Schizosaccharomyces pombe: one gene and its partners. Changing the gene in region 1 together with any one later gene gives a genetic interaction. Each region holds a gene or a part of one and is shown on either strand. Other genes may lie near its edges.

The links.
Region 2: of cdc13 (region 1) and wee1, extra expression of one is lethal in a mutant of the other (dosage lethality), as found in Schizosaccharomyces pombe (one study listed by BioGRID).
Region 3: of cdc13 (region 1) and cdc2, extra expression of one rescues a mutant of the other (dosage rescue), as found in Schizosaccharomyces pombe (9 studies listed by BioGRID, with this or other methods).
Region 4: of cdc13 (region 1) and cdc10, changing one suppresses a phenotype caused by changing the other (phenotypic suppression), as found in Schizosaccharomyces pombe (3 studies listed by BioGRID).

What each region holds. Positions count from the first base shown.
Region 1 is NC_003423.3:416,860-425,529, forward strand, and holds cdc13 (G2/M B-type cyclin Cdc13), read left to right. Parts: upstream 1-3,251; 5' UTR 3,252-3,449; exon of another isoform or gene 3,450-3,576; intron 3,577-3,802; 5' UTR 3,803-4,263; coding exon 4,264-5,712; 3' UTR 5,713-6,409; downstream 6,410-8,670. Other genes in the region: exocyst complex subunit Exo70, read left to right, coding at 460-461, 512-540, 601-759, 806-2,360, 2,414-2,450, 2,552-2,617; protein dsh1, read right to left, coding at 6,410-6,739, 6,810-6,879, 6,923-7,012, 7,053-7,514, 7,565-7,833, 7,888-8,013, 8,062-8,301, 8,364-8,491 and 1 more.
Region 2 is NC_003421.2:717,192-726,850, forward strand, and holds wee1 (protein kinase Wee1), read left to right. Parts: upstream 1-4,612; 5' UTR 4,613-5,042; coding exon 5,043-7,676; 3' UTR 7,677-8,644; downstream 8,645-9,659. Other genes in the region: rsm18 (mitochondrial 37S ribosomal protein bS18m), read left to right, coding at 8,819-9,319. UniProt on the Schizosaccharomyces pombe protein: Protein kinase that acts both on serines and on tyrosines. It acts as a dosage-dependent negative regulator of entry into mitosis (G2 to M transition). Phosphorylates and inhibits cdc2.
Region 3 is NC_003423.3:1,498,257-1,502,595, forward strand, and holds cdc2 (cyclin-dependent protein kinase Cdk1/Cdc2), read left to right. Parts: upstream 1-1,951; 5' UTR 1,952-1,987; exon of another isoform or gene 1,988-2,029; 5' UTR 2,030-2,083; coding exon 2,084-2,120; exon of another isoform or gene 2,121-2,188; coding exon 2,189-2,357; exon of another isoform or gene 2,358-2,429; coding exon 2,430-2,730; intron 2,731-2,831; coding exon 2,832-3,137; intron 3,138-3,191; coding exon 3,192-3,272; 3' UTR 3,273-3,839; downstream 3,840-4,339. Other genes in the region: protein wwm1, read left to right, coding at 545-1,159.
Region 4 is NC_003423.3:2,760,241-2,768,739, reverse strand, and holds cdc10 (DNA-binding transcription factor, MBF transcription factor complex subunit Cdc10), read left to right. Parts: upstream 1-4,939; 5' UTR 4,940-5,149; coding exon 5,150-7,453; 3' UTR 7,454-7,574; downstream 7,575-8,499. Other genes in the region: PAN complex subunit Ppk26, read left to right, coding at 1,050-1,140, 1,189-1,283, 1,343-1,383, 1,429-1,585, 1,639-1,734, 1,774-1,918, 1,961-2,110, 2,156-2,266 and 4 more; mmp2 (endopeptidase catalytic subunit), read left to right, coding at 3,744-3,985, 4,058-4,207, 4,275-4,425; GARP complex subunit Vps52, read right to left, coding at 7,575-8,499. UniProt on the Schizosaccharomyces pombe protein: Major component of the cell cycle transcription factor complex MBF (MCB binding factor, also known as DSC1), that controls G1-S phase specific gene expression. Involved in the control of rRNA production, via interaction with pol5.

The DNA of each region.
Region 1 (8,670 bases):
TAGACACAGACGAATTTATTTCTTTTTGAGCTGTTGTTACGTTTAATACTCTCTTTTAATATCCCCTCTTATGTTGGCCATCATATTGTAGCTGTTCAGCTATTTAATGAGAAGTTGAACTGAAACAAAAAATTATGATAATTTTTCTAAATCAAATTCAATATTTTTTATTTATACATGCAAATCTATTCTCGTATTGCTTGTTTCACATCGCTAATAGCCCACTACGATGTGTAAGAAAAGGAAACCAATAATTACACTGAACCTTTTTTAAAAAATATGATCAATTTTCCATTCAAACATATGTAGTTTTCAAAAACGTTCATTACATGAGTCAGAAAAATATCTGGTTGACCCTAACATTCTTTCGGATTGTACACCTTACAACTGCACATGCATTTCACCACACATAATATACGATTTTCATAAATCGCATCCTTCGTAAAAATTATATGCAAAATGTATCTTACATTAAACTTAAAGAATTAAAAAATTGAGCTAACTGGTATAGGAGTGGTGGTATTTTTGATGATAATAAAGGTATTTACCATGTTTATAAATTCAAAAGTTAAAGCTCGATCACTAATTAAATCGTTACAGCTGGGTTTGAAACGTTTCAAAAGAATCTCAATTCGGTCGCAAAGAATGTATCTGATGCCTCTAACATCCTATTGTCCATGGACAAACGATTGAGCGGCCTCGAGGCGTCTGCTGGAATCTTAAGAGATGATGTGACGAACTACAATCGCGTTTCTAGCAGTATGTATTGTTGTAATTTTATTTGTTAATTACTAATTTGTTTAAGACATCTACGACACGTTAAAGGAAATGGAGAGCCTTCAAGTTATCCATTCACACCTTCCTGTGCTGCAAAAGGGGTTGCAAGAATGCCAAAATTTAAATAAATCAGTATCTCAAAATTTAAAATCTGTCATGGACATTCTAAAATCTTTAGCGGAAGATTATACGAGTTTAGAAGGAAGTCCACTTCAATTTGCCTCAAAATCGCAGCAAAAAGTTGAGATGATGCTATCAGAAGGATGCCAGATTTTAGGTGCATTGTGTTATAATATACTTGAAACTTATGCTGCATCCTCCCTTAACAAAGCATCTACACTTTTGGATTTATCCATCCCGTGGAGTTTTCCCAATGAATCTCTTCAGCAATTTATAGGTTTAATTCAGCAATTCGATGCTGATGTTCTGTTCCCAGTTTCTTGCTCTTCAGATATCTCTAATATATACATCAAGATAAAGGGCGAATGTGTTGTCAAGTTACTTCATGCCGTCTCTATGAGGACAGATGAAATTAAGCTCAACGAGGGATCAGTTAACTTCGTGACTGGAAAAGAAGATGTTTCGATCAATTTAGTTGCTTTATCTAGACTATTACCAGCCGTTGCCTCGGAATTGCTACTCTTGTTTGATCAAGTTACTGCTAAGGCACTTTATCCCAAAATCGTTAAGCCTGCCATAAACACTGTCACCAATGCCACCAGACAGCTTGAGGGAGTTTATGAAAAAAGAGGTGCTGCAGAAAATTTTGTTTTGTTGTCTTTAATTGATTGTATCGTTGTTACACGCCAAAACATGAATAATCTTATGCCTTTTGAAGATGCTTCTTTCCTTGGTTTTGTGAATGGTGTTGGTCGTGAAATGGAAAAGATATTGATTTCTTCTATATCGAGGCTGTATAATGGCACTTGCCATAACAACAAAACAGTCCCTCTCACAACTGATAGAGTCAGTGAAATGACTCATGGTATTATGAGTTTCTTGAATGAACTTGCTGAGCATGAAAATGCCTCTTATTTGCTTGAAAGTATTGGTAATTGGGGCTGGAGACACGAAATTAATGCTGATCTCAGTCCTGCGCGCTCAGTTCAAGACATTACGAGGAACTATGTTATGGATTGTATGGATTCCTACCTAACTTCTGTTCAAACAGCTGCCCAGGCAGTGGATACGATTGGATGGAAAATGGGCGTAATGCTTTTAAACATCAGCGTCTATTTTGAAGCAAAATGTCTTGAGTCAAAAATTGCATCATTTTTACAAGACGTTGATTTAGAAAAGCTAGGAGATCGATCACAAAAGTACTCAACCATGTATATGGAAGTTTGGCGACAGTGTTCTCAAAATATGCTCGATTCTACCTATACAAAATCTCAAAACAAATCCACTATGTCTGCTAAAGAACGAGAGATTACAAAGGAAAAATTCCGAAACTTCAACGAACAAGTTACATCTGTTGTTCAAGTGCATCGTGAATCTGTTAGGTTTGAAACTGGTGTTGCCACTTTTCTATTGCAAGAAGTTAAGAAAACTGTACTACCTTTATATCAAAGGTTCTATGATAAGTATGAAGATCAATTAAAAACTGTTAGTTCCACTATAGCTAACCTCTGTTTAGATACATCAACAGTGATTTTACAAAAAATAAAGACAAGGTATGTGTATTGAGGATTTGTCGATATTCATTTGCTAGTTTATCGATGTGTATATACATTTAAGTTGTTATCGTTTTTCATTTTGCTTACTCATTACGTAGTATATCAAATTTACAAAGGCTGATTTAGATTCTTTTATTACAAGCGCGTTTGCTCCTTCCCTATGATTCAATATGATGAATTTGGGTCCTTTGAAATTCCATAATATAGTACTAAAGTGGGTGTACTGGCATTCTCACTTTTCTTTGAAGCATTTGACTGATGTAAATAAAGACGGACCATATCTCAAATTCAAAAATTTGACTTCTATTTTACATTATTAAATCGTTCCATATAATTTTTTTAATTATTAACTCCCCTTTTTTGATGACTTTGTTGTTTACCCTGCTCAGATTCTGCTTACGAGTAAGCTACCCACTAAATATTGTAATTATTAAAGAAAACTTGAAGAACTAATTTTTAATTGCATTTCCCAAGCAATCATGTTTCGATTATATACGTTCTTTACTTTATATAATGTGCCCAGCATAATTTCATAGACAATAACATTATTACCTCTTTTTTACAATAGTGAGGTAGCTCATATACATTAAATTGTGGTTCCATATCTCCGTTTTCTTATTTTTACGAAACTCGTGTTTGTTTTTGTTTAATATTTATATTATTGTTTACATTGAAAATTACCATATTATTTGATGTTTGTATTTGTTTCCCAGCTTGCCAACGTTGCGTTACCCCGACAACCCCATAGTGTTTACGCCCTCTACGATACTCCTTTCAGTCGACTCCACTACCACGAGCTGTCCTTAACCAGCATCTTGACGAGTTTTTACCCTTAAACGACATTCCTGCTCATAGAAATATAAGCAAGAACAGGACTTTTCCCCTATTAGTCACTGTCTAGAGCTAGAGGCGAGAAAAGAAGCGGAACCTGGTCGGTTAAGCAAAGCTTGTTCTTTCGTCTTGTCTTCTTGCTTGTAACAAGAGCTTAATCAGATTGTAAGTAATGTTAAAGGCTGGGAATACAGTTTTGGTTGTGTAAGAACATTTTCATACAATACGACCTTCTGAAGATGTGAAAATTTCTTCCCAATCAATAGTCACCCTTTTTCCTCGACTTCACCTAGTTCAGCGAAAACATGAAATCCTCTTTAAGTCTAACTTCATTTCTTTTTATTTTTTTATTTTTTTAAAATTTATGAAGGGATTAAGGGGTGGGTGCTGTAAAACATGGGGGTTTAAATTTAAATAACTACCCATTTTATTTTCCTATCAAAGTTTCTTTTTTTCATAGGATAATCCTTTATTGTGCCATTTTGTTTTTTCATTAGATTTACTAACGTCATTTAAAGTCAACATTTACCCTTCTTTTCTTGTTCTGGTGTTAATATAGGAAAATCGTACATCGATTCTACATATAGCTTCATTTCAAAGTTCAGTTTCGTGTTCTACGTTTCCTATATCCATTGTTGGACTTCATCGCAATCCCCTTACTTTATTGAAAAAAAGAAGTCTCAAAAGCTCTTGCCAAATTCTAGATTCGGTCAAAGGCTATTATTTTCTCCTTTATACGTACGAGAAACATACATTTTTGCTTGGATTTTATCCTTAAAATTTTTGTATAAACTTTCAAGTATAACTCATTCTATTTTATCTTCTCCGTCCCGTACTACCCCTTCACGTTTTTAGACACTTTAAAAAGGTTGTTCGTTCAAAACCTCTTTTTTATCATTTCTGTTACCTGAACCAATTAATATTTTAATTTCCCTTCCTCTCTTTCAATCCCCGACAGAATTCGTTTCTTCTTTTCCTCATGACTACCCGTCGTTTAACTCGCCAGCACCTATTGGCAAATACCTTGGGCAACAATGACGAAAATCATCCTTCAAACCATATTGCCCGTGCAAAAAGCTCTTTGCACTCTTCAGAAAATTCTTTAGTAAATGGCAAGAAAGCCACTGTGTCTTCCACCAACGTTCCTAAGAAGCGTCATGCGTTGGATGATGTTTCCAATTTTCACAACAAAGAAGGTGTTCCATTAGCTAGTAAAAACACAAATGTCAGACACACTACTGCTTCTGTCAGTACCCGTCGTGCTCTCGAGGAAAAGTCTATAATCCCTGCAACAGATGATGAACCCGCTTCCAAGAAGCGTCGCCAACCTTCTGTTTTTAATTCATCAGTCCCCTCGTTACCTCAACACTTGTCAACGAAATCACACTCTGTTTCAACCCATGGGGTTGATGCTTTCCATAAGGATCAAGCAACTATTCCAAAAAAATTAAAGAAAGATGTTGATGAACGCGTTGTTTCGAAAGATATTCCCAAACTTCACCGTGATAGTGTTGAGAGTCCCGAATCTCAAGATTGGGATGACTTGGATGCAGAAGATTGGGCTGACCCTCTTATGGTTTCTGAATATGTCGTTGATATTTTTGAATATTTGAATGAGTTGGAAATTGAAACTATGCCCTCTCCTACTTATATGGATCGTCAAAAAGAGCTTGCATGGAAGATGCGTGGAATACTTACCGATTGGTTAATTGAAGTGCATTCTCGTTTCCGACTGCTTCCTGAAACATTGTTTTTGGCCGTAAATATTATTGATAGATTTTTATCATTGCGGGTATGCTCTCTTAACAAACTACAATTGGTTGGCATTGCTGCCTTGTTCATCGCTAGCAAGTATGAGGAGGTGATGTGCCCTTCAGTCCAAAACTTTGTATATATGGCGGATGGTGGGTATGATGAAGAGGAAATTCTTCAAGCCGAGCGCTACATTTTGCGTGTCCTAGAGTTTAATCTTGCTTACCCGAATCCTATGAATTTCCTACGTCGTATCTCAAAAGCCGACTTTTACGATATTCAAACAAGAACTGTTGCAAAGTATCTTGTTGAAATTGGTCTTTTAGATCATAAACTTTTACCTTATCCCCCTTCCCAACAGTGTGCTGCCGCTATGTACCTTGCCAGGGAAATGCTTGGACGTGGACCGTGGAATCGTAATCTTGTGCATTACTCAGGTTATGAGGAGTACCAATTAATTTCCGTTGTTAAGAAGATGATTAATTATTTACAAAAGCCTGTTCAACATGAAGCTTTTTTCAAGAAGTATGCCTCCAAAAAGTTTATGAAAGCTAGTCTTTTTGTTCGTGACTGGATCAAGAAGAATTCTATCCCTCTTGGCGATGACGCTGATGAAGATTATACTTTTCACAAGCAAAAACGTATACAACATGACATGAAAGATGAAGAATGGTAATTTAGTGTATTGTGCATATCACTATCTCAACCTCTTTCAATTGTGAATATTCCAACTTGTTCAAGCGCTCTTTATATGTGTATTAGTTTATCACTAATAGCAACCGTAATGTCCTGTAAACGAGTCGCCGATAATTCCTAATGCTTTTGTTTTTGTTTTGTTCTATTATTATATGCTCGGGTACTTGAAGATTGCCAGATGCATAGTACATGCTGGTGTCATTATGAAACCAAAATCATTTGGAGAAGTGTAATTATGGATGCCTTTAAATTATCCCACCTTTAAGTCTTAGATTTGATTATCTGTCGCATATGTGTTTTGATCTATGTGGCTAGTAACGTTATAACAATTGTGTTTCTGCTAATGATGCTGCTTTAAACAACTACGAGTATTGTGCTATTATTTCTTTTTTACAATTAGGACCTTACGATAACAAAATAGTACTATATTTTCTGGATGTTGAGCTACTTGCCGATTGGGAATCCCATATCCTACACCATGAGTCGGAGTAATATTAATAATAATAATGATAATGATAGTTCCTTGAGGTGAATACTACTTTATTATGTTCATAGCTTGCAGAACGTATATTGCTCATAATAAAAATGAAAACAAATAACATCTAACTCTCGATAGACAACTTAAACCAAAACATTAAATGTGTTTCTTTAAAAATAATATCGTGATCCTTTTTTTATTAATCAATAGTAGATCGATTTACAGCCATAACAATGGATTGTGCCGTTTCGATAAAATGTTCAATGCCCATAGGGAAAAATTCCGATATCAGTGGTTTATAAGATGGAGCTTGCCATTGCTGTTTATGTTGATTATCAGCTAATAGATAATCCCATTTTGGATCCCAAAACGAGAGTCCATAACGAAGAACCGAAGTGTCAGAACCAACTTGGTAACATTGGAGACCAGGTTCGAAGTCTGTATCTATATCTTTAACTTTGCCCATATCGTGTGCTTCAAACCGAGTTATATGCAAATGAAAACCGGAAGATAAATGCCAATATTTATGCTAAAATTAGTTAACTACTTACTCAAAAATTGTAAAAACCAACAGTAATGCCTAAATGAACTTCATTTACCTTCAATTTGACAACTAGACTCCGAACTTTTATGTCTCTGGTATTCATAAAATAGATTCTTCCATCATCACTTTATGGTCAGCTTATAATTTTCTTTTAATAGTCAGCCTTACGACATAGAAATATTTGATATGAACTCTTTGTAAAAAGTTGAGTTTTGGGTTGGATGTCCATACTCAATGTAAAGGTTCCATGAAAGCGTACTGCAAGAGTGTTAGAAAAGAAATGAGTAAAAACACGTACTTCAAGTTGTAATAGGTAACGTCCAAGGCTTTGTACATAGTACTTTCAAGATACCACCCGCTAGGTTTGCCTGAATTAGTATTCCATATTGCAGTCAATGTATCTTGAACACCTTTGCAATTCATCACTTCAAAATGTACGGCTGTGATAGGATCATCTGAAAAAGACTCAAAGAGTTTTTCGCCTGTGGGACTACGGAGCTCTTTTAAAACATGGCAAACTTTTACGGAAACTTCGTCAGAGAATAAATACCTCAAAAACGTTGACCGTGTTTGGGGCTCCAAAAAACTTTGTGCAATGTTCACGGAGTTATTTTTCACCTTATTAGTACCAACTTTGAGTCGTTCAAATAGAGGTATACCAACTTTAACTCGCATAAAAACTGTACCTGAGAATAAAAAAACATTAAATAAAGATGCTGAAACGAAATTTTTTAAAAGATTGAAACTCCTTTCACGAATCCTATAGTTATGTCAATAAATATACCAGCCTTTTTAAAAAAAAACACATACAAGTTAATTTTAACACTATCGACAGGAGTCGGTATCGATTCGGGTAGGCGATGCAGATAAATAGAATTTGGCTTGTATTTCTTCGCTAATGGGAAGTTTCGATCATAAAACAGTTCATAAGAGGTTGAGTAGTCGTCAAAATTCATTAGATGCAGTATTGGCTGAGTCCTTTCTAATCTAATTAAAGAGACCTGCTCGTAAAAAATGTGTTTGACTCGCTTCAAAGCAACCTTTAAGTTTTTTACACTGTCGCATCGAACATAAAAGGCCTGAAAGAATGAAATGTAAGCATCCTGTAAAAAGAAATTACTTAAAATACATACAGCTAACTTGGGCAGATAGTGGATATAACATTGGCAATCCACACGGACTTGATTGAATAAAGTAAGATTTTCTCCACCGAAAAATTCGTAAACGTCCAAATCATCTGAAGGTAATGTGAATAAACCCTAATAATCGTCAAGTTATTATAAATGAGCTCAATATGTAAATATTACCTCTGCACGAAATGACAAAGAAGGATCCACATTGAGTAAATATTTTTTTAAAATCAAAGCATCGCGTTTCTTCTTTCTTACTAAAGCAGCTTCTTGACTTGGAAAATCTTTTCGGGGATTTCTGTACCATTTGGAAGCTGCCTTTGTCTCGCCTTCACGAGTATGGGAGTTGTAAAGTGTTTGCAGTGCCTTGGTAGCCAAGTCAAACATTTGTGGGGTTTCATAATATATGAAAATAGCCTGTAGTAATATATGCTAATTAGAAATGCAATCAATGAATGGATAACCCCAAACAAACCTACACTTGAGTGCTCTTCATACTGAATTAATGAAGAGGTTCTTCTTTGAATTTTCGAAATCTCAGTTTTATACCTCAAAAAAAATTTGTTAAATTCATAAAGGGTTCTGAACGTAGGATATGAACATTCGCCTAGGTGAAAAGCAATATATTAGTCAAAGCTCCCAGTACATTCAATGAGCATTTCATACGTTTTTTTCTTATTGAAAATTTCTTATTTTCTGCCATTGCATGTTTTTTTCTCTGAAGTCGACTGCTCTTGAATTCCAATCTGTCAGCAAATCATAAGTGATCTTTTTCCAACTTCAAAA
Region 2 (9,659 bases), on another chromosome or scaffold:
ATCGGCTACAAATACTATGGCACGAAATACGTGAATGCAATATGGCTCATCTCTTTACCTCTCTCTATAGGTAAATATGTAAATACTTAAGGCAAATTAAATTCTTTTTTCATCCACTTAAGCATTTTAACGTGTCATTTCGCACTGCTTTGTATTTTATTAATATTTTATTAAACAAAATGCGATAACTAGCGTAATTTGGAATAAAAAAACACCCATTCACCTCGTAGCATACACTTCGCTCGTGAACGCTATTTTCCACTTCCACTATCTCGTCTAGCGTGAATGCGGGCATAGCGATGCAGCGACACATTGCAGTATTTCACAATTACAAAAGTGTCGATCTTTTTGTTGTTGCGCTAAATAGTGTGCTACTAAACATTTTGATACATTCTATAAACTCGCCAGCGTTTATTCCATTTAGTGTCTTTCTCGTATTTTGAATTCATGTGTATGTGCTAGTAACTAAAATTTCTTCTCATCCAATTTTTTTTTTTTTTTTTTTTTATTTAAATTCTCTTCCAACCAACTTCTACTCGTTCATTTTTCTATTGACATTTGTGTTTAACTCATACCTCGTAATAATCACGTTTACCAATTCGACGACCCTCAGCAATTGACTCTCTGAGCCACATGAAATCATTTTCTTATTTTTTTTTCTAACTTTTTTGAAACTCCTCAGCACGTTCCCACAACTTTTTAGCAGTGTCAACAAAGCATTCCTCATCGGAGCGATACTTCAATCCAATCGACCTTGAGTAAGAACCATCCAATACCATGAATCCAGGATTGATAGACGCTTTTTCAGGCTTGGAAATAACTTGTTGCTTGTCAGGAAAGTGATTACGAAGTGTGCTGCAAATTTCCTCTGAAGTGAATAATCCCTTGCATGCAATCATTCGACCGTTCGATAATTTTTTGTTTTCTAGCGCTAATACATGAGCCGCTGCTAAATCGCGAACATCCACGTAATAATAATAAGGTGAAGAAGGATTGGCTTTGGAACCATTGATCAAGCTCCATATCACCAAATTCGATGTGTTTAGTGAGTCCATGTTCTTCATAGGTTGAATTGGCGGTCCAAACACATAAGGAGGATTGACTGTGCAAATATCAAACGAAGAGCGCTTTTGCGCTACATAATCTCTAGCGGCCCTTTCGGCACAAGTCTTTGACGCACAATACGCAAAGGTTCCGTCTTTCGTACTTATTCCCTGCTCATACGTGATGGGATTCCAATCCTTCTCCGTATACACTTTACCGCTATTAACGTCGATTTCGAGATTAATAATGGCGGCAAAAGAGGAAGTAATCACAATGCGCTTCACACTTTTCTCACCATGAGCTGCCTCTAAGACACTTAGTGTGCCTTTAACTGCTGGATCCAAGAGTTGTGTTTTGTTGTCAGTAATATTATCAACAAACAATGGAGACGCTACATGACAAACGTAATCCACATTTTTTATGGCATCTTCGAATGCATTAGGATCGACAATTCCTTGACAATTACAAATTCCACTTCATCCTTAAAATCAGGATTCAATCGAACAAGTTCATTCGCTTTTTCCATGCTTCTCACCGTACCGCGCACATGATATCCAGCTTGTAGCAGTTGTTTAGCAACATGAGCTCCAATAAATCCTGTAATCCCGGTGACAAGAACCAGTTTTTGGCTCATTATGGGTGATTAACGATTTTAGCAATAATACAATTATAACCTTGTTACAATAAATATAAACGGTAGTGTATCGTGCTTATGTAAGCTTGCTTAAGTAATAACAACCTTAGTCAGCGTACGATTATTGTCTTACTTTCAAATTTGCACTAGGACTTTGCGCCTTGTCATATATCCGCCAGCTTTCAAATAATCGCTTCGTAATACCACACAAACCCTATGTTAAGTTAAATAATTGTGGAATGGTATCAATGAATGAGTGGATTAATTTTCCAGTACAGGTAAATTCCCACCTTTTTCCTTAACTGAAAAATGGATGAAACTGAAATCATGAATCTGTCCAAGGAATTCCAAACGTGACAAGAACAAGCAGTCGTTGTTTGTTGGCCAAGTTATTAGTTTTTACATTACAAATACAGAACAGTTGAATGAAAGCACAAAAGAAAAAAAAATCTGAAACAGCCATCAAATTTAAAGGCAAACAGTACACAAAAAAAAGTATTTGTTTATGAAAATTATTGGTAGTGCAGATTATCTATAAACATGTAGTGGTAATAGTAAAAAGGTGGTGTATTGATATTATGATGAATGAAACCTATGTAGTTCTTCAAGAAAGTTATGCTTAATTCAGACTACATTTTCTGGAAATTCTTTTGCCTTATAACTTTGATGAATTTCATCTATGTATTTAATAGTATATCATTTAGTGATGAATAGTGAATAAATTTAGAGCTCCTTATGTGACAAACAAGGAATTAACTTGCATTCGATTCGTTCGTCTAGCACTAAATGAATCTGTGTTATTTGTGTGTGTAAAGAGATTAGTAAGTAGGCTCTAAAAAAAAAAAAAAAAATGTGTGTATATTTTTAATTTATTTTAAATATTTTTCTCCTTCGGTTCTTTTCTTCTTCTTCTTTTTTTAAGTTTTATTTATTTATTTTTTTATTTTTTTATTTTTTTTTTTTAATTTCAAACAGCTATGCTATAGTCTAGTGCTTCTCTTGCAATTTGACAATGTTTTCGTAAATTTTGCCAGATAAATGAGTTTTTGAGCAACTATTTAAATTCGGTTTAATATATTTAATAAACCTATTTTATTCTATGTCGAGAGAAGATTGAGATGATTAATCATTCCCTCTATCTATTGATTGTTTCATTCATTGTAACTAACAAATTCTATGATACTTCGCCTATCTGATTTACCATTATTCTCACTGTACTTTCTTAAAATGTTCCACTTTGGATGGTTTGGATTCTAAAAAAAGAACACTTGACTTTTCCTTTTTTTGCAAATCCGAATATTTTTAATTCTTGTCTTTTTACTTCTTTGCCCCCCTTTCACTTTCTTCTGCTCCTATCGTCTCCCCCTTTTTTTTTCCATACCTTTCGATATCTGAATCCTAACACAATTTCCTAATGTTCAAGAAAAAAGAATATTCGTTGATATATAAAACAACTTTAATTATCATTCTTTAAGTCATTTCATGTTTATTATTTTAATTTTAGCTTCTCTTTTGAATGCTTAGAGGCACTTTTTTTCCTTCCCTGTTAATTTTTTGCATTCCTTTTCTCTCTTCTCTTTTTCTATTTACCTTTTAACACTAGCACTGCTTTATCCCATGCAACCCTTAAATGTTCGAATCGATAGATAATAGAAGAATCATGTAAAGACTAAAAGGTGATTTTTCTCCCTTTTTTTTTTTTTTTTTTTTTTAAACGACTTTTATTGTATTGTCATTTTGCAAAGTGAAACCAATTTTATTTCTATTGACCCACCACTACTTTTACTAAAACAACAATAACATTAATTCCACAATTTTTTTTTTTTTACCATCTCCTTTAAATCAAAATCCAGGCTAAACCATTCACACCACCTCTTTTCATCTCTTCGTTTTCCTTCCGCTTTTTTGTCTCCGTCGCTAACGGGATCTCTCATTTGTTTACTGGTTATTCCTTCATTCATCAACATCACACTGTCTTTCTTTCCACCACTCACCATGCCAAGTGCCTGAATTCATCTGAACCGTTTCTGTTTTTTGCATGTTATTTTAGGGATCGTATTTCCATATCTTTTCTTTCTCATTTATTTCCAATTTTACATCTTTCCTTTGATTATTTACTTTATATATATGGACAGATCGACATACTAACGTGCACTTACCGCTTCTAGTTAGTCTCCAGTGTGTGACCTTTTCGTCATTACTTTGGTACATTTCCCTTCCATCGGAAAAGTAAGCTACTTCCATTCTTATTCATATTTCTTGTCTTTTCCCCATTTTTTTTTCTTTTGTAGCAGCGAAGAAGAAAAAGGGACATTCATTAAAACCATCTCCTTCAAAAACTCGTAGTTTCGGCTCATCCACTCGTTTCCTGTTTCTGTTTACATTTTTTTCACCACCAACTCTCACTACTTCTCGCTGCTCTGATCCCAAAACTACCTTACACTACACTACACTACGCTGTACTATACATATTTAGCTAGGAGAAAGCAATATCACTAACCAACGAATTACGATTTTTTGCCCAGTTTCGGTATAATACTTCCTCCTTCAACCCGGCCTTCCGACGTGATTTTCGCATTCTCTCCTTATTTATGAAAAATAGTTTCCCCTCCCTTTTAATCAGCTGTTAAGCGTCCTTATCTGCTTCTTTCTTTATAGGCTTTAGACGTTCAATTTGCTGAAAATTTTGTGGTTCCGTTTCTTTGTTTTCCTTCCGTGTTTGCTAACCTTTTTTCGTTGTTTTTGGCTTCTTCTAGGGAACGTCTCGGCTCAGTGCTCCACAATAAGCTATCGCTTAATTTCACTCACTCAGCTTTAAAGGAATACTGGAGTGGAACGCATACCCTAATACCGGATTGGACACTTTAAGGCTATAGCGGCTTTGAACCCCCCCTTTGTACTAGTAAAAGTAGGTGGGTGCAATATCTTCGTCGTAACCTCAACATACCACTTTACTTATTAATAGACATAATTCGTTGAAGCAAACGAGAGCTTTTTTGCTCTCTTGCCTTTGTTTTCTTCTTATTTATTTTTAATTTATTAAACATTTCTCTTTTTTTGACGTTTCTCCTTCGTTTTGACAATATTACGAGCATTGGCTCAATTTCTTCTCTTTTGTTGAGGTGGTAGGCCTTCAGAATATCGGTTGGAATTTTCTTTTTCATTTTGTTTTCTCCCTTTTCTTTATTCCATTTACAACTGTGCATTACGCTTTACCTACGAAATCCTAGTTGCTTCGCACTTCCCTCGTTTATCGATTGTTCGTTCGTACATCTGTTCCGTTTGCATTCCAATTCAATTTAATTAAATCAAAAATTTCATATCTATTTTTTTGTTAAATTGCCACATTTTCCATACAGAAAACATGAGCTCTTCTTCTAATACCAGCAGTCATAGATCTTATGGCTTACGGCGGTCCCAACGCTCCATGAATCTAAATCGTGCTACTTTGCTCGCTCCTCCAACTCCATCGAGCCTGTATGATGCTAACAATTCTACTTCATCTACCTCTTCGCAAAAGCCAAATACCTCTTTCACTAGCTTATTCGGTCCTCGCAAACAGACCACTTCCTCCCCTTCCTTCTCTCATGCCGCCCCTCTTCACCCTCTTTCTCCTCCTTCTTTTACACATTCACAACCCCAGATACAGGCACAACCTGTACCTCGGCGGCCTTCCCTTTTTGATAGACCCAATCTGGTATCACGCTCTTCCTCTCGGTTAGGTGATTCTCCATCTCTTTCTCCTGTTGCCCAGGTGGCTAATCCCATCCACCATACTGCCCCTTCACCCTCAGACGTTCGTGCGTTTCCCATTCATAAAAATGCATCTACTGGTGTAAAACGAAGTTTCTTTTCTTCCTCCATGTCAAACGGTGCAATGTCCCCTCCTTCCCACTCTCCATCTCCCTTCCTTCAAAGCTCTCAACACATACCTCCTTCTACTCCTGCTCAGAAGCTGCGAAAGAAAAACAATTTTGATTCTTTTCGTATCTCAAATTCCCACATCTCTCCATTTGCATCGGGCTCCTTCTCTCCTTTTGCAACTTCATCGCCTAATTTTTTATCGACTTCCACACCCGCTCCTCCTAATTCAAATAATGCTAATCCTTCTACCCTTTTTTCGTCCATACCATCCTCTCGACACACTACCTCTAATCATTTCCCTTCTAACTCCGCTCAATCCTCTTTGTTTTCTCCTACCGCTCGTCCACTTACTGCACGCAAGCTTGGGTTTGCCTCCAGCCAAACTAAGTCTGCCGTATCTAACAACCATTCACGAAATAGCTCTAAGGATGCATCATTTATGATGAAAAGTTTCATCCCTTCTAATCGCTCACATCCTCAAACCCAACAAAATGAATCTTCCCTCTTTTCTGATAACAGTATGGTTAACTCCTCTTCTAATTCATTCTCCCTTTTCCCCAATGCTACTCTACCTAACCCACCCTCATCTGAGTTGTTAACTACTCCCTTTCAACAAATCAAACCTCCTTCCCAAGTTTTTATGAGTACAGGTCTTTTATCCAAGCAACATCGTCCGCGAAAGAATATTAACTTTACACCTCTCCCTCCTAGTACTCCTTCAAAACCCTCTACCTTTGTTCGTCCACATTCTTCCTCCACAGATTCGCCTCCATCACCCTCGACTCCTTCCAATACACAAACCGACTCTTATTTTATTCAACGGGAAAACACTCCTACAAATCACAATTCCATTCCTACTATTCAGTTGGAGAAAAGTTCCATGGACTTTTTGAGGTTCGATCCTCCTCCTTCTGCTGTAAAAACTTCTCACAACTATGGATTACCATTTCTATCTAATCAGAGGTGTCCCGCTACGCCTACTCGTAACCCATTTGCGTTTGAAAATACTGTTTCCATTCACATGGACGGTCGGCAACCTTCGCCTATCAAATCGAGAAATAATAATCAAATGTCATTTGCCATGGAGGAAGAAGCTGATGTATCTCAACCCTCTTCTTCAAGCTTTACATTATCCTTTCCTTCTGCTCTCACCTCGTCCAAAGTATCATCATCTACTTCACATTTGCTTACACGGTTTAGAAATGTTACTTTACTAGGAAGTGGAGAGTTTAGTGAGGTTTTTCAAGTTGAAGACCCTGTGGAAAAAACTTTAAAGTATGCAGTGAAAAAGCTCAAGGTAAAGTTTAGTGGACCAAAAGAACGTAATCGACTACTTCAGGAAGTCTCTATTCAACGAGCCCTTAAAGGCCATGATCACATTGTAGAGCTTATGGACTCATGGGAACATGGGGGGTTTCTTTATATGCAAGTCGAATTGTGTGAAAATGGTAGTTTGGATCGTTTTCTTGAAGAGCAAGGACAACTTTCAAGGCTCGATGAATTTAGGGTATGGAAAATATTAGTAGAAGTAGCTCTTGGGCTACAGTTTATTCATCATAAAAATTATGTTCATTTGGATTTAAAGCCTGCTAATGTTATGATAACATTCGAGGGTACCTTGAAGATTGGTGATTTTGGAATGGCCAGTGTTTGGCCTGTTCCGAGAGGCATGGAAAGAGAAGGTGATTGTGAATACATTGCGCCTGAGGTTCTTGCTAACCATTTGTATGATAAACCTGCTGATATTTTCAGTTTGGGTATCACAGTCTTCGAAGCTGCTGCTAACATTGTTCTTCCTGATAACGGTCAGTCTTGGCAGAAATTACGTTCCGGTGACTTATCAGATGCTCCTCGACTTTCTTCAACAGACAACGGTTCATCTCTTACTTCTTCTTCTCGTGAAACACCGGCTAATAGTATAATAGGCCAAGGGGGACTTGATCGCGTTGTAGAGTGGATGCTATCTCCAGAGCCTAGGAACCGACCTACCATAGATCAAATTTTGGCAACTGATGAGGTTTGCTGGGTTGAAATGCGTAGAAAAGCCGGAGCCATAATTTATGAAGGTATTCATGGATCTTCTTCTAACCCCCAGGGTGATCAAATGATGGAAGATTGGCAGGTGAATGTTTAAACCTTTTAGAGACTCTTGTTCTCAATGTTTATTACTGCGAAATTGCGAAATAAGGGAATGGCTTCCAAAATCTGTTTAGCTTCATAAAAGCAAACACTTTAATTATTTTTAAACGAAAAGTTTAGTGATTGGTGCTTATAATTAATTTTGGTTCATTAAATGCTTTTTTTTTATTTAAGGATACGTGTCCGTTTTAACCGAACCCTTAAATTTTAAAAAATTTTAAAAAATTATTAGATGATAGTTTTTCTATTTAATTTTTTGCCTTTTCACCGGATTATCTATTTGGTTTTCTTCAGTCAAATATCCGGTTAATTATATCTGAGGCAATATGATGATGGCTATGGAAACATGCCATTCAGTTCTTGATATGGGGAACTAGAATGTTTCCTTAATTTAAAGCCTTGACGCCGCACATACTGTACGTGCTTTGTCTACTGAAAAAATGTTAGTGAACGATTGTTTTTTATATCGCAAATCCTTTCTCTAACATGTAGACTCGGCTTCAGAGGAGTTATTATTCCTATTTTTCATCTATTTTATTGTCTAATTTCTTATGTCACTCGTTTGTTATCGACTTGATATGTTGCATTTACTCATCTTTGCTAGCATAAAGTTCGAATCCCGACTGTTTATCCACTTTTTTTTGACTTCTGTTTTCATAATAATTTAGATCGATCGATGACACTGCCTATTATTCTTGTACATAGTTTACGATCTTGCTGAATGGCAAATAATTGGTTATGTTTATGGAAAATGCCACGATTTACTAACGAAGTTTAATAACCCGTTAGATTTTTTATTATTATCATATCATATAATAATTAGTAATAATGTTAACGTTATGCTTAGTTCCACTTCTGTAATTTTTAATTTCCCTTTTTTTTTATGCTTGTGAAAGCTGTGTATATGCTCAAGTTTGTGATGCCTTCAAATTAGTATAGGATTTTAATGACCCGTTTAACACTTCATATCTAAATAAACATTTATTTTGAAACAGAAAAGTTAGAAAATTCAGGTATCATCACGTTTTCATTTATCAGACACAAGCATAAGCTATAAACTATTTAACGAGTGTCTCATTATTTCACTAAACACCTTCAAACATTGAAATATTACTTTGACAACAGCACGGGAGAAAAATGCTTGGGAGACGAATATTTTCTCCAGCTCCAAACAGAGGATTTATTTTATGCAATCTCATACAATCTAATAACTCTACGCGAAGAGGGTTTTCGGACAATCGAAAATTTAATGAGAGAAATTCTGAAGCATCTTCAAATGTAGGATTTCAGAGAAGAGTTCGCTCAAATATTCCATCATATTTATCAGCCTCCGTAGAAGAAGGTGATATTTACTCTCCCAATGATTTACTGTTTGAAACGGTAAAGGCGAAAAATCAAGCCAAATTCTATGAACCAGTAAGAGAAGATTGCTTTAAGACGGTGAACGAAAACCCTATGAATTATTGGAAAAACCCCGTAATATTGTCAAGATTCGTTACTGAACTTGGTCGTATTAAACCCAGAGGTGATACTGGCCTAACAGCAAAAAATCAACGACTTCTTTCTAGGGCTATCCGAAGGGCTCGAGCTGCTGGTATAATGCCGACGAAATACAAATCAGTTTATTCGGAAAATTAAATTGTACTGAATATTAACAAGGACGTTCTATATCTCATTTCATCACATTGGTAGATATACTTACCCACTGTCCCTTACTTTTTTTTTCTTAAGGAACGATAAACGATCTACTTTACTTTTTAAATGATTAGCTCACGTTAATTAATATTTCAGGTGTACTTTGGTTTTGAATAGTCTTTTTTGGATTAAAATATACATGACACAAAATCATAAACCGCTGCTAATATTAGTGGCTAACATTTTTTAATGGCTTTAAAAATATAATATCTTTGTTATCTTTAATTTTTAATTTAGCTTGATTGAACTTTTTTGTAGGAGGAGCGTTAGTCGATACAATGTA
Region 3 (4,339 bases), 1.1 Mb from region 1:
CACTTCTTTGAGACTTTCAATTACCTGTATAATATCTGTAGATTTGTAGAAACAGCTAAGTATCGCTATATGAATATTGATTACTTACATTGCTCAAGTAGTTTCGTTATAATGTAATGTAATAGATAACAAATTTAAAAAAAAACTGCCTATAAGAATCACTGTATAGCTGAATATTAGTTTAAGAAATTAAGCATACTAGTGGCACCTTTCACCACGAATAGCTCCATGACTGCTGCTAGCATCAAACTTCTCCAACCTTCTTATCGATCTTAACCACTATAATTATCTCACCATCATACGCGGAATTTCATTTATTTGATCAATTGCTTTTTCATTTGCAAAAGGCCAACTATCTAGAAGTATTCTTTCTCTTTCCATTTGTTGTTACCATTACTTCTTGCGTACAGAGCAGATAGAAGTATTAGAATTCATTTATTTTTTGTTAACTGTCTTTTTTACCAAAAAAATTATTTTTTAAGATATTCCCTTCATTCCAAACTTTTCTCTCAATTTATACTCAACATATTTCTTAAATTCCATTATGGCTTATCAAACTCGTGAAGGTCTCCCTAATGGCTGGGTCGCTCAGTGGGATGAACGCTACAAGTGTTACTTTTATGTTAATGAAAGTGATCCCAAAGCAAAGCCGCAATGGGAATGTCCGGTCCGTGGTTTAACTATTCCACCACCTCCTTCGGTGGACCACTCTGCTCCCCCAAGTGGACCGCCTCCTTCTTATTCCAACTCAGCCGCTCCTGCCACTCCTGCCGCTTCTGCTTCTTCTGCTGCTCCTGCTCCTGCTCCCGCAGCTTCCCAAAACAGAGCATACGGGGCCGCTCCACAGCCTTATCCCCCTCAGGGCGGTTATCCTCAACAACCATATTATTATCCCAATCAACCAAATTATTACCCAGCCCAGCCTGCCTACGCACAACCCGTATATGCCCAGCCTGCTACTTCTGCAAGAAGAGGTCGTAGCGGAGTCTTGTCTAATCCCATGGTGACTGGTTTGGGCGGACTTCTTGTCGGTGGTTTGGCTATGCATGAAATGGACGAAGCTTTTGATCGTCCTGAAGAAGTTGTTTATGTAGATGATAATAACTACAACAATTTTGATGATTATGGAGGTAATGACTTTGGCAATGATTTCTTTTAAGGGAATTTCATGCATCGATTATGTTATTGAGTTCAACTGCATTATTGACAAGTGTTTCTCGCAAGAAAAATTACATTAGATGAACGATTAATACATATTTTACTGCAGAAATATAAGATCATTCATTTTACACCTGTGTGTACACGGGGATAGTTCATTAGTGTGGTTAACTCGAAAGTCTTCGTCGTAAATGAATATTGACTTATTCAATGCTGTTCCCTAGTAATAGTTATTATTTATATTAACTTTTTTTTACCTTTTCTCCTTCGCAATGCTTTTTATCTATCTGGATTTTTTTTATGACTCTGTAACTTCTGACATACACACGGATTCTGCTTGTTTTTATAAGTGTGATATTTATTTATTTATTTTTCTTTTAAATAAAAAAAAATGTTTTGTTTTCTTTGCGAGCAGGTGGAGAAGTCTTTGACAGTTTTTACAATTTCACATTTATCTTAAAGGGTTAGTCTATAAATATTAGACAACTCAGGATAATCCAACCTACCGTAAATTTATTTATTTAATAATAGCACTTTTTTGACTGATATTCACATTTACAATTTTTTAATTCACGGTTATACAATGTCTTCAGATGATGTTTTGATTATGTAGTTCTTCATATCTGATCACCTAGTATAAATTGCAAGTAATGAGTTATGTCCTACTTTTCTAATTTCATTTTTGATAACAGTATAATTCATAAGTTAGAAACATGAAGCGCTAGCCCTAAGTTCGGTTTGATAATAGTCCTCTGCGTTTCCACTAGTCTATCGCTAGTTGAGCAAGCTTACCCACAGCACAACACAACATAAGCAAATTTGTATAAACGTATTTTGAGATCATTCTCGCATCTCTATTAACAGATATTAGAAAAATTATTTTCCAAAAAACATACCGCTAGGTTGCTTCTTTTAGTGGTTTGCAATGGAGAATTATCAAAAAGTCGAAAAAATTGGGGAAGGTAGGTGTAACTGAGGAAGCTATGACTTATCCAATTTCTTTTCTGTCACGTATACTGACTAATGCTAGGAACCTATGGCGTTGTTTATAAAGCAAGACATAAATTGTCAGGGCGTATTGTGGCCATGAAAAAAATTCGCCTTGAAGATGAATCTGAGGGAGTTCCTAGCACAGCTATTCGTGAAATTTCGCTTCTTAAAGAAGTGAATGATGAGAATAATCGATCAAATTGTGTTCGGTAAGTTTTTACTTGACGGATGCATGGGAAATGTTTACATTGATAAAACTTTGTTTCTAACCCTTTTTTAAGACTTTTGGATATTTTACATGCTGAATCAAAGTTGTATCTTGTTTTTGAGTTTTTAGACATGGATTTGAAAAAATACATGGACCGAATTTCAGAAACTGGGGCCACTAGTTTAGATCCGAGACTTGTTCAAAAGTTTACCTACCAGCTAGTGAACGGTGTAAATTTTTGCCATTCTAGAAGAATCATTCATCGCGATTTAAAACCACAAAATTTGTTGATAGACAAAGAAGGCAATTTGAAGCTAGCAGATTTTGGACTTGCGAGGTCATTTGGTGTCCCTTTGCGGAACTATACGCATGAGGTATATTTTTTTTCTTACTTGGCTGTATGACTTTATTCCCAAAAAATTTGGAATATTGACTGACGGTCTTTCAGCATTAATTTGTGTCGCTAACCGTTTAGATTGTCACTTTATGGTATCGTGCTCCTGAAGTATTGTTGGGATCAAGACATTATTCCACTGGGGTTGATATTTGGAGCGTTGGATGTATTTTTGCTGAAATGATTCGACGAAGTCCATTATTTCCCGGTGACTCTGAGATCGACGAAATTTTTAAAATTTTTCAAGTTTTAGGTACCCCAAACGAAGAAGTATGGCCTGGAGTCACGCTTTTGCAAGATTACAAATCCACATTTCCTCGTTGGAAACGCATGGATTTGCATAAAGTTGTTCCCAATGGTGAAGAGGACGCTATTGAATTACTCTCTGTAAGATTTTGCATTACCATCTATTTAAGACTAATTACTAACCATTTTGTCAAGGCTATGCTTGTTTATGACCCTGCCCATCGCATTAGTGCAAAACGAGCTTTGCAACAAAATTATCTTCGTGATTTTCATTAATTTTCGTCTCTTATTATTAAACCTTTAAAAACGCTATCCTTGACTTTATCTGTACTTTGCTGTGTTTCTTGATATCAGTTATTAACAAATTACCTCAATTTATAAACCGAAAATATTTATTTTCCTCCTTCTTTTTCGAATCTTGGCGTTTGTTCAAAACATACTCAAACAATGGGCAATTTACAGGGCATATAAAAAACACTGACATATTGAGCTTGCCATTAAATGTGAATTTAGTAACGTTTTTAGTTCTGTTCCCTTTACTGTGTCTTTATTGTAAATATCACTTTAAATGCTTTCTTTGACTGTCAAGGGAATTATCGCCGTTCTTTTTACAAAAGCAGGCTCTGAGTGTTTAAATCTATTTTTCTTTCATTCCTGATAAAACTGAAGCCTTTTAATCTCCCTTTTTCTTACTTACTCTTATCCTTTGTTTTCCAGTTTTTTAATCCTCATTTATACTATATTCTATTTACATATTTTTTATACTTAAGTATTAAAAAAGGTGTATATTCTTTAGACTTTAGTTTTTAGTGTTCGTGTTTGCTCTGAACATATAAACTGCACTTACTTAGATGTATTTAGTATCAAAGAGGTGAATTAATTTTACGAGCAAACGGTAAAAGAACGTAAATGTGCTTATTGTTCAACAGACATACGTGTTTATTAAATTTTACAAGATGAAAGTGATATGAATATTTGTATTTCACACTATATTGAACGCTAAGCGAGCATCATTTACAGCTTAAGTCTATACCTAGAGCGTTTGGAAAAATTCAAAATTAATAAATCGTATAAACAAGAAGTAAAACTAAACAGCGCAGGAGAAACCACTAGATGCATGGATACATACTAACGATTGAACCTGGCAAAGTGTAATTGGACAGAATGAAACGAGACATATTGGAAATATAACGTCTAAAGATGAAACGCAGGACAAATTTGTTTGGAGGCTTGAGAGGAATGAAAAGGGAGCAAATACATGGAGGGAAGAGCATTTCCATTAAACTGCGCATGCACATTTTACTTTCCATGCTTTAATCATAGAAAAAGGTAACCAATTAAAT
Region 4 (8,499 bases), 2.3 Mb from region 1:
ACAATATTCACGCATTTTCTCCATTTTTTGTTCACATACTTGCCATAGCTTTTAAAAATAATTTTTCCAATCAGACAGAGATAAATGCCAAATATCATACACTTGTCTTTAAGTTTTCAAGAATGTATTAAAACATGGGTAACCATTCTCAAAAAATTAAAAGCTTATTCAATACAAAATTCACCGTTCTCTTTTCATTTTGAGCTATTTTAACTCAATTAGACTTTTCATTCCTTACTCTGTTTTAGAGGACAATGTAAAGAGAATAGGGTAATAAATATGCTTTTATAATTGACAGTCTGTTATTATTCTTTTTAGCAATTTAAATATTTTTCTGAATTCCTAAAATTTCTTTAATTAATTAAATAAATAATATATACTTTTTTGTCTGACAGATCAAAAAAGGAAGGGTGTCCGAGTGGTTATGGAGCTAGTTTAAGGCACTAGTGCGAAAGCTCGTGGGTTCGAGTCCCACCCCTTTCAGTAATTTTTTATTGCATTTTATAGCAAAACAGGGGAGTGTGAATTTGGCAAGCTGTTAGTTTCTATAGGGAATTTATAACTGCGAACTAAGTTTTCTTACTTGCAATGGCTATATATGGGAGGCCGAATTGCTTGAAAAACATAGCTTTGCATTTGAAACAATTCGCAAAAGTTGGCACTAAGGAAGAAGTTAAGATAAAAAAAATTCAGTTACTTTGGTTTTATGATTTGCAATTAAATTACAGTGATCGCAGAAAGATAGCAGCATTACGAAGACATGTTCAACTGCTACATAACACTTGCTATTGTTAAAGTTTTCGAAATAGTTACTGCCCGTTACATGTAAAGAACAGATAAAAAATAAATTAGAATTACTGTCTTCTCAAATGCTTAAATATTACTACTATGAAATTGTTATATAAACAAAATGTAGCGTTGCAAAGTATTACAGTAAACTTCGTTGTGCTGCATTATTAGTATTGTCCGGGACTTACTGATTCCACGACCTGTAACTAAATTGCTATAATCTCAGACTGTTAGCTTGGGATTGCCTGGAAATTGACAGGATGAGTGTGAGGAAGAATTCTCCTGCAAGCCCAAAGCCAACTTCCCGTTCTAGGGAGAGTTCCAGGTCTCCGTCAGTGACTGATTTGAAAGGTAAATGGAAATTCAAAGCAAAACTTGACTGACCACCATTTTTAATAGACCATTCCAAAGCTAAACGAACATTATGTAGAAATATCTTACTTTATGGATCCTGTAAGCATTCAGAAAATGGATGTGCTTTTCGACATGATGGTGTAAGTATAGGCGTATTCTCTTAACTTCAGAGAAGCTTCTTGCTTACGATTGTTTGTAGCCTTTCATCCCTTCTTCAGAGAATTTGGAGCAATACTCAGTGTATGATTTTTTTTAAGGCTTTGTACGTATAATTAACCTCGCTAGTAAGAAAAAACTGAATGCTGCGTCGGCCTCTTTTCAACCTGTTCGCGCTTTACCAGTAAAGGCTGCTGGCGCTGCAGTATTTGTTCCTAAATCACAAGAAAAATCTCTTTTTCTATCTAGAGAGCGTACCCCTGTTGCGCTTTCACCAGGTAGTCATGTATGTCTGGCTAACAGCTTATATTTTTCTTACTAATTTTACTGTAATTTTAGGCTATTAATCCTTACAATAATGCATCTATGTTGGTCAATGAGCCTTTTCATGATGACTCTGGGGTTTATTATACTCGTCAAAACCAGTTTAAACCCGTAAGTCTAAAGCCTTATTATTGTTGTTGACAACAACAGACATTGTACAATTTATATAATCCGCAACCTTCTCCCATGCCAACTTTACTTCCTTATGAAAGAACTGTAAACGGTCTATTTATTGATGATACGACTAGAGAAAGAATCGAGAGAAAGAGCGAGGCATCCCGTCAGACAATTTCAGGTACTTAATTTGTGTCTAGCTTCCTTTATACTAATATTTTAGCGCTTCCGTCTATTATATCTTCATATACTTCTTTGGCGCCACTGAATACAAAGCTTTATCGGTATAAAGAGCAAATTGGATTCTCTTCTTGGACGTACAAATGCACTTCTTCCATCGATGGGAATGCTTACGTTTTGAAACGACTCCAAGGTAACCTTCAGATTCATAAATTGCAATTGCTAATATATTTAAAAGACTGTTCAATTAATATTGATACGTCGACTGTCGACAAGCTTAAAAATGTTTTTCATCCAAATATCGTACCATTCCATTCTGCTTTTCATACTGATACATTTCATGATTCTTGTAAGTTTATTTTACTAAACCTTACTAATTAATCAAGCGTTACTATTAATTTATGATTTTTATCCGTGTACTACAACCCTTGGTGAGCTCTACCTAAACAATTCTAAAAATTCTGTCAAGTTGGAGGAAAATAGAAAAATTCCAGAACGAGAGTTATGGAATTATTTTTTCCAGCTTACTATCGCTTTGTCATATCTACATAAATCCGGGTTTGCTTGCAACAAGCTTACTCCGTCGAGAATCCTTGTGGATCAAACTGAAAGGTATTTTTTTTTGAACATTTTTTATGTTTTGATGGAATACATTTCTTTAATTCATTAATGACTTATACTAACGTGTAAAGGATTCGTATTAGTGGTTGCGCTGACTATGAATTGGTAGTGTCAAACAAGCCTCCATTAGAGGAACGAAAGAAGCAGGATTTTGTAGATCTTGGAGTTGTGATTGCGAATTTAGCTACTGGAAGAACTGATATGGACATGTCTTCAGCCGCACGAGCAATTTATAGTACATATTCGAGGGAATTTTATAAAGCGGTTTTATACTTTGTATCGGAAGTTCCTGAGGATAAAAACTTGGAGTTGTTTTTGCAAAATCACATAGAAAGTTTTTTCCCTATAATGAGTTCACCATACGTGGAATGCGAAAAAATGGAGAGAAAAATTTCGGACGCTTTCCAACACGGTCGATTTTTTAATATTTTGTGCAAGATTATGTTTATTATTGATAATAATAGAGCTTCTCGTGAATATCCTATCGCACGAGAAAAAGAAATTTCATTAATCTACTTATTACGAGATTATCTTTTCCATCAGATAGATGAAGATGAGTGTCCTGTGATAGATTTATATCAAGTGCTGAATCGCCTGGGAAAGGTAAGTTTTTTACATTTTTCTCATTATTGCATTTATTAATTCATTAGCTTGATGCCGGTATAAATCAAGCCATCGCATTAATTTCCCGAGATGAACTTGATTGTGTTTCAGTTTCTTATGGGGAGGTAAGTATTTGCTCAAAAAGCCATAGTGGGTGCTTAGTAAATTAGACTACTTTTCCACACTATATAGCCTGTTTGTTTGCAAAATTACTAACAATAACAAATGTAGCTAAAAGCTTGGTTGGACAACGTTTACGAAATGGAAATAAATTCTTAAAATAAAACATTTTTCTTTACAGAATATTTATTTGTTTTTTTGTATCTATTACCATGGTTGTTAATTTAAGTAAATAATAGTTTTCGCTATAATAATATTAGAAGGAAGCTAAGCTTAATGTGGTTTTGAATTACCTACTGCAACACACCGTATTGAAACAAAAACGATCAGGAATAGAAGCCTGACACTTATCAGATAAAATTCATTAATACGTTTTCCTGGTTTAATTATTAATTACGGAAACTCCCATGCTTGTTAAGGTACATACAGACGGTTAATCATAAACTTCTTAGAGGAGAGAGTTTAGCAGTTGTCCTCAAAAAATGGCAAACCCTTTCGTTCGAAATCAATCTTTTAAATCAGTATTTTTTAAAAATTTAGTCGGAATTACCCTATGGGTACCCGTATTAATGTTCGTTGAACAACATGTAGTCAGCGTCGGTACAATTGAAGGTAGATCTATGAAACCAGCCTTTAACCCTGAGACAAACATGCTGCAGAGAGATAGGGTACTACTTTGGAAATGGAATAAGGATTACAAAAGAGGAGATGTAGTTATACTACGGTAAGTTCTTGGATCGTTGCAGGGTCTTTCGGTACTGAGTTTCCCTTTTTATCGTTACTAATAAGCAACAAGCTCTCCAGAAAACCCAGAGGAACTATTGGTAAAAAGAGTTCTAGGAGTAGAATACGATATCATGAAAACGAGACCTCCTAAAAAGTTGTCATTAGTACCCGTTCCCGAGGGACATGTGTGGGTCGAAGGCGATGAACAATTTCATTCTATGTAGGTTTCCAACAATTGTTTTTTTACTTTTTCGTTTTCTTCTATAGAGATATTAACTAGTTTACAGTGATAGTAACAAATTTGGCCCAGTATCGACAGGACTCATCACTGCCAAAGTGATTGCAATTTTGTTTCCCTTCTCTCGTGCAGGGCGTATTGATCATGAAGGTTTCCGAAAGAATGCAGTGTTTTTAAGTGGAAAACGTTCTGTTAAGTAAGCTGCACCACAGTGAACCTGTTTCCTTGACAGTTTAGTTCCATGCTGGTTGGTGCTTATTTACATTTCTTTTAAGGAACACGTTATCCTTAAATTTAATTTATTTCGACGCGTCGCGTTCTATATATGACGTCATTAATATGTCTATCTATTTACCTATTTGAAAAAGATGGAAGTTGGAAGCTACTTTGTATTAGAAATACCAATAAAAAAATATAATTTTTTCATACTCAACATCAAAACTTTTATTTAGGGAAAATTAGAATTGACTGAAAAATCCGTCTCTTTTGCATATCCCGAAACAGTAAAGTCGTTGAGTATAGCAAAGTTGGAAATTTTTCAACAGGGTATTTGAAATGAGAAAGAATTCCATTTCTAAGTAGCCTTTAAATAAAACCCCCAGAAGAAACGAACATTGAAGTAGTCCTTTGTTTTCCTTAGGAAGCCTCATATATCGTTACTTCGAATACGGTCTAACGCCGTACCAAATGTATACAGCTGCGTGAACCTTCCCAGAGCGAATTTGTGTATAACACGAAATCCGAAAAAATTACTTCTATTTATTTGAAAAAGAAAGGAATTCACAATCTCTTAAACAAACCAAGTGGTGAGGAGCTCGAGTCTTCTTTCATGGTCAGTTCAGCACCCTTATTTTCGAGAAAAACGTGCTGCCCTTTATAAAAAATTCGATATTTTTTCGGCATTTTTTATTTTAATATACTATAATGGCTTCAGCCAATTTTATTCGCCAGTTTGAGCTGGGGAACGATTCTTTTTCATACCAAAAACGCCCAGAGGATGAGCCATCACAACCCCTTTCAAACAGAAATATAAACAAACTAAACGATTCATCTACTTTAAAAGACTCTAGTTCAAGGATTTTTATTAACTCCCAAGTTTTACGTGATGGCCGACCCGTAGAATTGTATGCTGTCGAATGTTCAGGCATGAAATATATGGAGCTTAGCTGTGGGGATAATGTTGCTCTTCGAAGATGTCCAGATTCTTACTTTAATATCTCTCAAATACTTCGACTTGCTGGTACTTCGTCATCTGAAAACGCCAAAGAATTGGATGATATTATCGAGAGTGGGGACTATGAGAATGTTGACTCCAAACACCCTCAAATAGATGGAGTATGGGTTCCATATGATCGAGCAATTTCTATAGCAAAGCGATATGGGGTTTATGAAATTTTACAACCATTAATTTCTTTTAATCTTGATTTATTCCCCAAATTTTCAAAGCAGCAACAAATCGAAAGTTCTTCAATCTCCAAAAATTTAAATACTTCTTCTTTTAATACGCGATCCCCTTTGAGGAATCATAATTTTTCAAACCCTAGCAAGTCTTCAAAGAATGGGGTGCACACTATAAACAATATGCAGAGTTCACCTTCACCTTCTTCCTCTTTCTTACTACCTTTAACTCAAATTGATAGCCAAAATGTTAAACGCTCTAACAATTACCTCTCCACCTCTCCACCTATCCTTGAACAGCGTTTAAAACGGCATAGAATTGATGTCAGTGATGAAGACTTACATCCCTCCTCACAGTTAAATGATAATGAGGCCTCTTCATTGTTTCCAGATACGCCAAGGTTGAACCATTCACTTTCTTTTGTATCCTTGGTTTCTAGTCTTCCTCCACTTGATCAGAATATTATGCAGGATTATCATACATCAAAAGACATTTTGACCTCTATCTTTTTAGATGTAAACTTTGCTGATTCCAGCGCCTTAGAAGCAAAGCTGTCGGACTCATTAGATTTGGATGTCCCCATTGACGAACTTGGACACGCCGCTCTGCACTGGGCAGCAGCCGTTGCCAAAATGCCTTTGTTACAAGCCTTAATACATAAAGGAGCTAATCCTTTACGTGGCAACCTCACAGGAGAAACGGCATTAATGAGATCGGTTTTGGTAACCAATCATCTCAATCAGAACTCTTTTGGTGATTTACTAGACTTGCTTTACGCATCTCTTCCCTGTACAGATCGAGCTGGACGGACCGTCGTTCATCACATTTGTCTTACTGCAGGTATAAAAGGCCGAGGTTCAGCATCGAGATATTACTTAGAAACCTTATTAAATTGGGCAAAGAAACATGCAAGTGGTAACAACGGATATATGCTGAAAGACTTCATAAACTATTTAAATCATCAAGATAAAAATGGGGATACAGCTTTAAATATCGCAGCAAGAATTGGAAATAAGAACATTGTTGAAGTTTTAATGCAAGCCGGAGCTTCCGCTTATATTCCTAATCGTGCAGGGTTAAGCGTAGCAAATTTTGGAATTTTTGTTGAAAACGCATTAAAACAACCCGAAGACTCAAAACAAACAAAAGTTTCCCTTATGAGTGAAAATCTGTCCAGCAAAGAAAAGACTGCTGTCCCTCCTCGTCAAAAGAGTAGAGACATTATCGCCTCTGTGACCGATGTAATATCTTCTCTGGATAAAGATTTTCAGGATGAAATGGCTGCAAAACAGTCTATGATTGACTCAGCCTACACCCAATTGCGTGAATCTACAAAAAAGCTGTCCGATCTTCGTGAACAACTACACGTGTCCGAGACGCAAAGAACTTTGTTTCTTGAATTAAGGCAACGTTGTAAAAATCTTATGACTTCGATCGAAGAACAGAAAAGTGAATTAAGTAATCTTTATGAATCTTTTGATCCCAATGGAATACACGATTCATTATCATTGGATGCTGACGCTCCTTTTACTGTCAATGAAAACAACAACAAAAATTTATCTATTGCTGAATTGAAGTTTCAAGTTGCTGCTTATGAGAGAAATGAAGCCAGATTAAACGAATTAGCGAACAAACTTTGGCAACGAAATTCCAACATAAAATCAAAGTGCCGTCGGGTTGTTTCCCTATGCACCGGTGTCGATGAATCTCGAGTGGATTCATTATTGGAAAGTTTGTTACAAGCCGTGGAAAGTGACGGTCAACAGGGAGAAGTAGATATGGGTCGAGTTGCTGGATTCTTACGTGTTGTTAAAGAACATCAAGCATAATATTGCTTTTTGTGGTTTACCACTAAAGTGTCCTGAAATAATTAACTACTTTAATTTTTTTCTTAATATAGAATCCTACCAAATGAATAAAACGTAATTTATTATATGTTAATAATCTTGGCTATTGGAAATTAGTTAAATTTTCATTAAGCTTTTCGAAATATGTTTTTTGCTCTATAGCTAAATTTCCCGATACGCCGCTAAGAACAGTCGAAATGAGGGTATAATTATTGGACAAAAACCTACTTTGTCTCCTTTTGTCATTAACTGTTTTACACAGGTTTTGTAACATGCTCACATAATCCTGAGCTAGTCTTGAAGCACTTCGTGCAACAGGCTCGGCTTCTACGACATTAACACTTAGCATCGAAAGGCTATAAAGTAGTTCAGCTACTCGCTGCGAAAGTGGATGAGGTCGCGAAGTGATTTCTTCTGGCTTCACAGATAAGTTAGTTTTACGGAGTGACTCACAGTGCATGTCCATGACAGCTTGAAAGCGAGGCCACAGAAAAAGAATCATGGAGTTATAGTGTGGCTCAATAACAGGCACTATATTAGTTTGCGCCTGTAAAGCTAATTTTTGAGTAAAACGAATGGACTTCAAAATACCTATGCAATCGATACTGCTTGATATCAATCCTGTAATGTATTTGCGTGAAAAATGTAAAGTTTTTTCAAAGATAGCGGCAAAAACGGTAGCCTGCTGATCTTTAGAGAGGTTAAAGTACTCCAGCAAAAAAGCATATTCAGAAGAGACGTGTTCCGTCAAGACTAATTCCCATGAGCAATAAACACGTTCAATATATTGTGGGGAAGATTCAATATGATGCATTGTAGATGCTGTCAACACAGAGTTCATATCAAAATCCTGAGGGCGCAAGTTTACTGAGAGCATTTGATTCCCGTAAGATTGTTGTGCTCCTTTGGAAAGGTTGAAGAGTCCTTTCCGATCCTCTTCAACGCGAATAGTTTCTCCCTTAAGGACATGAACTTTGTCCAAAAACCTAGAGTACTGTTCGAAGTGGTATAGATAAAACCAATTCATC